2 linked regions of the Oryzias latipes genome follow. The protein of the gene in region 1 purifies or fractionates together with the protein of each later gene. This does not show direct contact. Links are inferred from orthologs where the notes say so. Each region holds a gene or a part of one and is shown on either strand. Other genes may lie near its edges.

Region 1 (4,142 bases):
GAGAGTAATACAAAAAAAAGCAAAACTAGTTCAGCAGTTTGAAAATGAGGTCAAAAGGGATATTTTGGGACCGGACCGTAGCAGCTCACAAAAAGTTGACCGCACGGACCGCCATCTTAGCTCCTCTAGCAATTTGGAGTTGGGTCTCCTAATTTAACAGCTGCAGGATTTAAGTTTTTAGGTTAGAGACGATAGTAAAAGCGGTCATGCTGGAGATACTAATTTAAAAACTAAGAACAGAGAATGACATTCAAATTTACTAATTTACGGGACATTTTGCTCGTGTAAATAGGTTTATTTTCTTAACAAAAATATCTAATTTTGCGATAATTGAACAATTTCACAATTTCATCACGAAACACATCACACAACAATGAAAGGATGTTTCCATTCAGGAGAAGAAGTATTTAAAATTCAAATTCAACTTTATTTATGGAGCATTTTTCTTGTTACAAACACTTCAGAGTGATTTACATTAAATAAATAAATTGTAAACAAGAATAATAGCCCACACACATATTCAAACATGTAAAAACTACTTAAGAGCAAAGTGGAAAAGATGAGTTTTGAGGGTTTTTTCCTAAAAAAAAAAAACTCCACTGTCTGCTTGTGGTTAAGATGTGTGCCGTTTAAAATCAATTGTATTTTTTCTTAGCACCAGAAAGAAGAGCGTTATAATAATAATGATGCTGGTATATGAAAAGTGCTTTAGTATTAAAGTTTTACTCTGTTATTTGAAAAATAAAATAAAAAGAAGTAACTTATTTTTTTCAGAGCAAACACAACATTATCTGGATTCTACATAAATTGTGCTCTCAATTTTTAATTTATTTAACATAGGGATATCATCTGCAAGCCGAGGTGGCTCTTATAATCTTTCATTGTGGCTCTTTGGTTTTGAAGAAAAAATGCTAATGATAATACTAACATAAATAATGGATTTGTGGTTTTGGTTCATTTCTTTTAGTTGACAGTTGTGTTTTATAATTTTTTAAATTTAGAAAACTGAGCAAAATGATGCACATAAAGCAACAGTCCTTATTTCTGTTGATCAACAATGACTAGATGCTATTCAGAAGCAAAATTAAAGTATAGAATTGCAAACAGATGTTCAGGTTAAAAAAAAGTGGATTTTGCCCCAATGTTGTCATGTTTATATTCAATAGTAAAATGAGAAAACGAATTATGGGTGCATCTGTCTAGCAGTTTTAACTCTATTTGTAAACTCGGAATCTGTTTATCTGCTACAACCGATCTGTGTAGGGGGTATTTTATTTTGAAAGGAACTGCAGCTGCTGTCACAAGTAAAATAAGTTGAAATTCTTGTAAACTAGAAAACTATCACTTTCATTTAACTCATCATCATATTTTAATTATTGTAAATATTTAAAAGCTAAAACTGGTTAAATAACAGTTCAATGGTTAAAAGTATGACCTCAAGAGGGCGAACCATTTTTCTTTTACTGATGTGCATATTGCGCATGTGCAGACCTACACACGTGGGGTAAACGTTTGCACGAGCTGCAGCCTTTGGAAGGTTTTGAGACGCAATTTACCACTTTTGGCGTTCGCTATACTTATTTCGATCCCGTTAAAGGAATTAGTCCTCCGTGAAGCATTTCGCCGAGAGGGCCGGAATATCAAAGAAAATCAAAATGGTGAGTGTAGTTTGTCTTGAGCTAGCAAGCTAACGAAAGCCGCTAGCTATTAGCATCTGATAACAGCACGCGGGGTGCTGTAATCTGGCTATTCTAAATTTAAAGTAATTATTGTGTTTCATTATTATTATTATTTTTTGTCAACAGTCAGAACCTGAGGTTAACCCAAAGGCTTACCCGCTGGCCGACGCCACGTTGACCAAAACTATTTTGGATTTGGTGCAGCAAGCCTCCAACTACAAGCAGCTGAGGAAGGGGGCCAACGAAGGTAAGGGAATTAAAGGAGAAATATTTAGCTGATCGGTGTAATATTCTTGGGATTTATCGCAGTCTTTATCTGTATTAACGACAAAATTCGTGAAACATCATGATGAAACGAAATAAAATAAAGCGCTTAGTAGGCTTGATTCTCTCACTTCCGGTAAAAATCACCCAATATTTAAAGCCTATGATTAATGTACCTAAACCAGAAAGAGTAGATAGCGTGAAAGAGTTGAAGAAGAATCTGGTGTTTCAGCAGACATTTTTCACCAGAGCAAAAATCCTGAGGAGGCTTCTTACCTGTGAAAGCAACTTTTATTTTGGCAGGTTGACCCTCTTCACTCTAACCTCCAATGTGTTTCTAAAAAAAACCCATAAAGTCTGCTGTAAATTCAAAACAGCCCTCTAAGCTGGAGAATGCAGGGCTGCATCTCTGCTAAAACACTGATTCTAAAGTAAAATGAGTTAAATGACATTTTTTATAGCAAATTTCCATTTCTGTTTAGCTTTAAACTCCTTTTATTCATAACTGCTGTTCACAGCTGAAAACAAGTATAAAATATTTAATAAACTATTCAATAAAAAAACTGTTTTTGCACAAATATTTTTCAATAAGTCAAATGTTTAAGTGGAAATTAATCCATAGATGAATTGTTGTCACTTTTTTCCAATTGAAACAGAATTTCATTCGTATTTCTTTAATTCTTTCTACAAAATCGATCAGTAGGAGATATTAAGGTTGCATAACTGTGTTAAACAGGACTTTCTGGTTTAAAAAAAGCTTCAAATAAATGCATTTTATTCATAAACAGTCAATTTAAAGCTGAGGTAATAAAAAAAATGAACAAGCCAAATATTTGTAGGATCTAGATGAATCCAAGCGATTCTAGATGCTGTCCAGATATTTGAAAAACGCCATTTTGTCTTCGTTTTGCTTCATAGTTAAGCATCCTGATATAAAAAAAAATGTTTGTATGTCATCTTATATTCTGACACTTTATATCATCAAACCTTCCAAGGGTTTGGAGTAATATTATTATTGTTAATATTGTTTACATTTTCCTGTGTTCTGACAGCGAGGCGACTCTGCTCTCTCCTCCACAGCGACCAAAACCCTGAACAGAGGCATCGCGGAGTTCATTGTGATGGCTGCTGACGCTGAGCCGCTGGAGATCATCCTCCACCTGCCGCTGCTCTGCGAGGACAAGAACGTCCCGTACGTGTTTGTGCGCTCCAAGCAGGCGCTGGGCCGGGCCTGCGGCGTGTCGCGTCCCGTCATCGCCACCTCCGTCACTATAAAGGAAGGATCCCAGCTCAAGCCGCAGATCCAGTCGGTCCAAATGGCAATCGAGAGACTGCTGGTGTGATCTCTGTGCTCATTTTCTGTTCTCATTTGAGTTTATTTACTTTAACAAAATACTTTTAGGTGTTTATTTTTTATTTTTTTGGTGATCATAGCAGCTTTGCTTCTATCAGTGTCCAAAACCAACATCATTTCCTAATAAACATTTTTTATTAATGTAATTCCTGTGTTTTATTTTTTTTCCCTTTAAGAAGTGTTTACTTTATGCAGAAGTAGTGGAGACCAAGGAGACTTTAAATGGAAGACAGAAAAACATCATAGAAATTAAACATTTTTTTCCAAGCATCTCATCCAGTTAGAAATGTAATTTAAAACAAGTGTCTGAAACTGAAGGACTCTAGAAGATACGTCTCTACAATGTACAAAGTTAAATGTTTACCAAATAAATGAGTATTAAAGAATTAATTCAAAGTGTAATCCAGTAGTGCTTTGCAATACATTGTTTTCATTTTAAAAACAGAATTTTGGGTCTAAACAATTTTTTTCTTACAATTTATTTAAAAAACATTTAGAACGTTTTACCTTTATCTCATTTCTGAAATTGTCAGAAATAAGGTTATTTTTTTACATAAACTTTGTTCAGTGAACAGAATTTCATCTTTCAACACAGTAAAACTAAAGATGCGATTAATAAAATTACTAAAATTAAAATAATTTTAAAATGAATACATATGCAATTTGTGGTTTTATTTTTGTAAATTCGTAAAGATTGTTTATAATAAGGCGACATCGTCCTTTTTTGTGTTAAATACATTTAAGAAACGTTAACACTTAGACAAAAAGTGGTTACTTATTTTATTTTGAATAAAATCCTGCTTGAGAAAAAACATTTTTGCTATAAATGTAGGATTGACTAAAAT
Region 2 (4,356 bases), on another chromosome or scaffold:
CAGGGGTCTGCAACCACAGGCGGCCCCTTTAACAGTCTGTGGTAGCTCTTTGGCTTTAACCTCTTCAGATCTGTGTGTGGACATCACAGTTAAATTGGGTTAGATGACCACATTTCTGCTTAAACTGAGCCCTGTAATTACTTGATTCGAGGGTTATCTCAAACATTAGCCTGGGTCTTAAGAGGTTTAAACAACGCACAACGATGTCTGGTTGTTGTTCAGAGTTTTTGAAGTCTGTATTTTGCATTTACACGAGTGGATTTAAAAAATTGTTTTCTACACCTATGTTTAGTTTTGACAGTAAAAGAAATAAACAGGATGAAAGCGCACCAAAGTCATGACAGAAAATGTCACGTTTGACCTGTTTTTTGTGTATTTTTATTGTAAGTAAATCTGCTGCATCAGAAGGATCTTATTTGACACAGCGTGCACTTTATTTTGAAAGGAACACAGATCTGCTGCTGTAAAGAGTAAAGAAGTTCCAGATGTTATCTATAGAAAAATATAAGATTTTAGAAATATTTAAAAGGTAAATCTTACAAAGGAATGGGTGTAAAAAGGTGTATTTTTCTAAAAGGTTAAGTGGGACGGCCCTTTGAGCGTTTCAGAATGAAGATGTAAGGAGGTTATGTATGTGGGTCTGACGGTCTGGGTCGTGGTTTCTTCCAGGGGTGTTTATCTGCAGAGGGAAGGAGGATGCCCTCGTCACCAAAAACATGGTGGTGGGAGAGTCTGTGTACGGGGAGAAGAGGATGAGCGTGGAGGTAAAGAGCCGCTTCTGTATTGTGAGGTTGTCCCTGTAGCTCCAGTGCTGAAGGGTTGGTTAACCCTCAGCCTCTGGTCCCTGCAACAGCAAAGTGTAAAAACTGAAACCATAACTCCTGTTTTTAAAATGTTTGGATCCTTTCCTGCTAGATGACGTAAACTCTTGGCTGGCTTCTGCAGCAGAGCTGGACTTGGTGGATTTTTCTTCTGGAAGATGATTGTGGATTTCCTGTTTTTGATCAGGAGGGTGATACTAAGATTGAGTACAGAGCCTGGAATCCTTTCCGCTCCAAACTAGCAGCTGCCATTCTTGGAGGAGTTGACCAGATTCACATCAAACCCGGAGCCAAGGTCATGTACCTTGGAGCCGCATCGGGAACCACGGTGTCCCACGTCTCTGACATCGTTGGGCCAGTAAGTACATTTCAGAAGTAATCGCATTGTTGTTGCTGTTGTGAAAATGCGTCACTGCTGTCAGTACCCATATGTGGTTTGATCAATATGCAGCTTTGACACATTTTGTCAGAATAAACCGTCTGACTCCGCCCCCTCTAGACTCATGTTGGATCTTGTTTTTGTTTTAAGGAGGGGCTGGTCTATGCAGTGGAATTCTCCCACCGATCTGGCCGCGATCTCCTCAATGTGGCTAAGAAACGCACCAACATCATCCCCATCATCGAAGACGCCCGCCATCCGCACAAGTACCGCATGCTGGTTGGTAGGTGTCAGTGCCTCAGCACAGCGGCTGTGCGGACAGAGCGCTTCTCCTCCCCGGCCTCACGTTGGCGCTGTGCTCCTCTGCAGGCATGGTGGACGTGATCTTTGCTGACGTCGCTCAGCCTGACCAGACCAGAATCGTGGCCCTTAATGCTCACAACTTCCTGAAGAATGGTGGACACTTTGTCATCTCCATTAAGGTATGACGGCTCACATTTCCGTTGGAGACGCACTACCCTGGGGATGAGGAGAGGATGTGGTGTTGAGAAGGAATCCGTGTTTTGTGTGTATCTGTTCGGTTCTGATCATAGTTCTCTCCTGATTCAGGCCAACTGCATCGACTCCACAGCAGCTCCAGAGGCTGTGTTTGCGTCAGAAGTGAAGAAGATGAGCTCAGAGAACATGAAACCGCAGGAGCAGCTCACCCTGGAGCCCTATGAGAGGGACCATGCGGTAGTGGTGGGCATCTACAGGTAAAGTATGGAACGTTTGACGGCTTGGGTCAGTGGGTACCAGCAGGTGATGGTAACACATTTCAGAGGATCAGACATGCTTACAGCCTGCGCTGCTGCACGTCCTGCTACTAAACCCAGAGAACACTGCTCCATTTTTAAACCGCTTTGATCTAAAATCAAACAGGAATTTGACATATTTTGCCATTTTGGTCTGTATTTAGAACAGCAGGGGCTTGTCAACATGCAGCCTCTGAAGCTACGTTCACACCGGGCTCAGAAACGCATGTTCAAGCAACTGCTTCCACTGAAAAGTAAATGCGCTTTTAAGGCTTCCTTGTTTTTTGGAAGTCCGTTTTTGGGCTCAGTGTACAAAATGCACGGCCACTGAACGCGCATCACTAGTTTAAACCCGTTGAACTTTGACTAATCGGGGACTCTTTGATGGCGACGTCTGGATGGCGTCCTTTTCAAAACACGGAAGTGCCAATCGTATAAAAATTGATCGTGAAGGAGAAAATAACTGTGGTTTAGTGTCCGGCCGGAATTCAATGACACAAAGTCTTTCATATATTGGAATAGAGCTGCGAAAGAAAGTCTGGAGCAAAATTTACCCGATTAGCACCGTTTCCACATTTCCCACGTAGACTTGTCCAACTGTGAGTGAATGCGCCAATAATGGGCAACACCGTCTGCTAAAAGCGTGTTCAAGAATGCCCGTTGCGTTCTTGAACACGCTTCACACGACCGGTGAGGACATAGCACAAGTCATCTCTGACCGTCAGTGATGCTGCAGAGACGAAGACGGGCGCTGGTTTCAGTATCACTGTGTTTAACCGAAGGAGCCTTTTTGCAAACGAAAAACATTCACTTTGAAGAGTGAATGTTCTTTATTTGGCATTTCGTTTAATATTTACAGTAAACTTTTATCAGTAAACAAAGGAATGTTGTGTCCGTTAACATCTAAATACAGGGAAAGAAAAGAAAAAGTAGAAGCAAAGAACTCGTGGAAGTGCAATCAGAAAAGCCTTTGACCCACATGTTCGTCTTTAAACTTCTGTTTTTTATAAACGCTGCAGCGCTTAGAGTAAAATGTCTGCAGAGATTTAACATTTGTACTCCACAAAGAGGACATGATGGTTACATCCTCTCCTCACTTCATTTACTGCATCTCATTGATGTAGAACAAAACCTGATAAAGGGGAAAACATCCTGGTATGTTCTGGCTTTCTGTGGATGATCTGGTATCTCATGAACTGTGAACTGCTGTGATTGGCTAAAGGAGATCTGATGTTTGTGTTTCATGAAAAATCCAACATCTTTAGACGTCAGATAATTGGATAATTGGGTTCAATGTCAAAGAAGTGACGTCTTTCTGTTTTCTGATTCCAGACCGCCACCAAAGCAGAAGAAATGAGGTGAACGAGAAGACCTTTGACACTGGCTGTTTTTACCTTTTTTTTCTTCCCTTCTTCTTCAGTGTTTTTTTGCTTTTGTAAAGTCCTGAGCCCCCCCCCCCCTCCTCTGACTAAAGACTGGTTGCCCTAACTTCCTCAAAGGAATAAGCAGCCCTGTTCTCTGACTAGACGAGGCTGGAAAGGTGTCATTCGTGGTTACTCGCTGCGACTTCAGCCTACTGCTGTCTAAGAAACCTGCTAACGCTTTGAGGTTCAGTTGTCACAAGCGTGGTCCGACTCACATGTTCGCTCATCCCTTCATGGATGTTTGTGGATCTCTCCATGGAAATAACCTATAACTGTTTAAGGAGCCTCTCCAGGCGTGAGAGGAAGACCACTTTCATTTGGTTATCAGTCCATCAGATTGCATGGTTGATGAGAAAATATATATTTGAACCCAGCCGTTTTTCTCCTTTTTTTTAAATAAAGAAGAAACTTCTAATTTCTCTGTTACTGTTTGAAATGAGCACATGTCAAGAACTCCGTGTCCACATGTTTACCAATGTCCCATTCAGCTCTTCCCATCTGTCCCAACGCTGTTGGAACTTCATCCAGCATCTGCTTCAGTCGCTGAGTGACGAGACACGAAGGCATCCCTATTAGTCAGAAGGAGCCCATGGTGCCAGTCTAAGCTTCTGCAACTGTTCCTTACTGATGGCCTACAGATGCTTTAGGATCCAGCTTTTGGTTCTCTCCATTGTGGGACGTCAGTGTGCACGCGGAAGCCAGCCATCCTCTGGTTCATCTGCATGCCAGCAGAGCCTGGTCTGGCCTTGGTTTGCACCAGATTCAGGTGGGCTAATGCCAAACCCAGAGAAGCGACAGTGTGGATCAAACCTGTTACTGTGGGGTTTGTTGCCGTTTCAAATTGTTCAGCTAACCTTCAAAGAACCTAGCTTGAGCCAATGTGATCCATCCCTAACCCTGGTACAGCTGGTCCAGGCTAACCTGACCTGGGCTCTAGC

Evidence for each region.
Region 2: the proteins of snu13 (region 1) and fbl purify together in Homo sapiens (affinity purification with mass spectrometry; 5 studies listed by BioGRID and IntAct, with this or other methods). This does not show direct contact. The link is inferred for Oryzias latipes from reciprocal best matches to the Homo sapiens genes SNU13 and FBL.

What each region holds. Positions count from the first base shown.
Region 1 is NC_019877.2:3,754,534-3,758,675, reverse strand, and holds snu13 (NHP2-like protein 1), read left to right. Parts: upstream 1-1,457; 5' UTR 1,458-1,655; coding exon 1,656-1,658; intron 1,659-1,805; coding exon 1,806-1,926; intron 1,927-3,023; coding exon 3,024-3,286; 3' UTR 3,287-3,443; downstream 3,444-4,142.
Region 2 is NC_019874.2:7,461,981-7,466,336, forward strand, and holds the end of fbl (rRNA 2'-O-methyltransferase fibrillarin), read left to right. Parts: intron 1-669; coding exon 670-764; intron 765-1,008; coding exon 1,009-1,179; intron 1,180-1,350; coding exon 1,351-1,483; intron 1,484-1,569; coding exon 1,570-1,682; intron 1,683-1,809; coding exon 1,810-1,955; intron 1,956-3,326; coding exon 3,327-3,351; 3' UTR 3,352-3,833; downstream 3,834-4,356.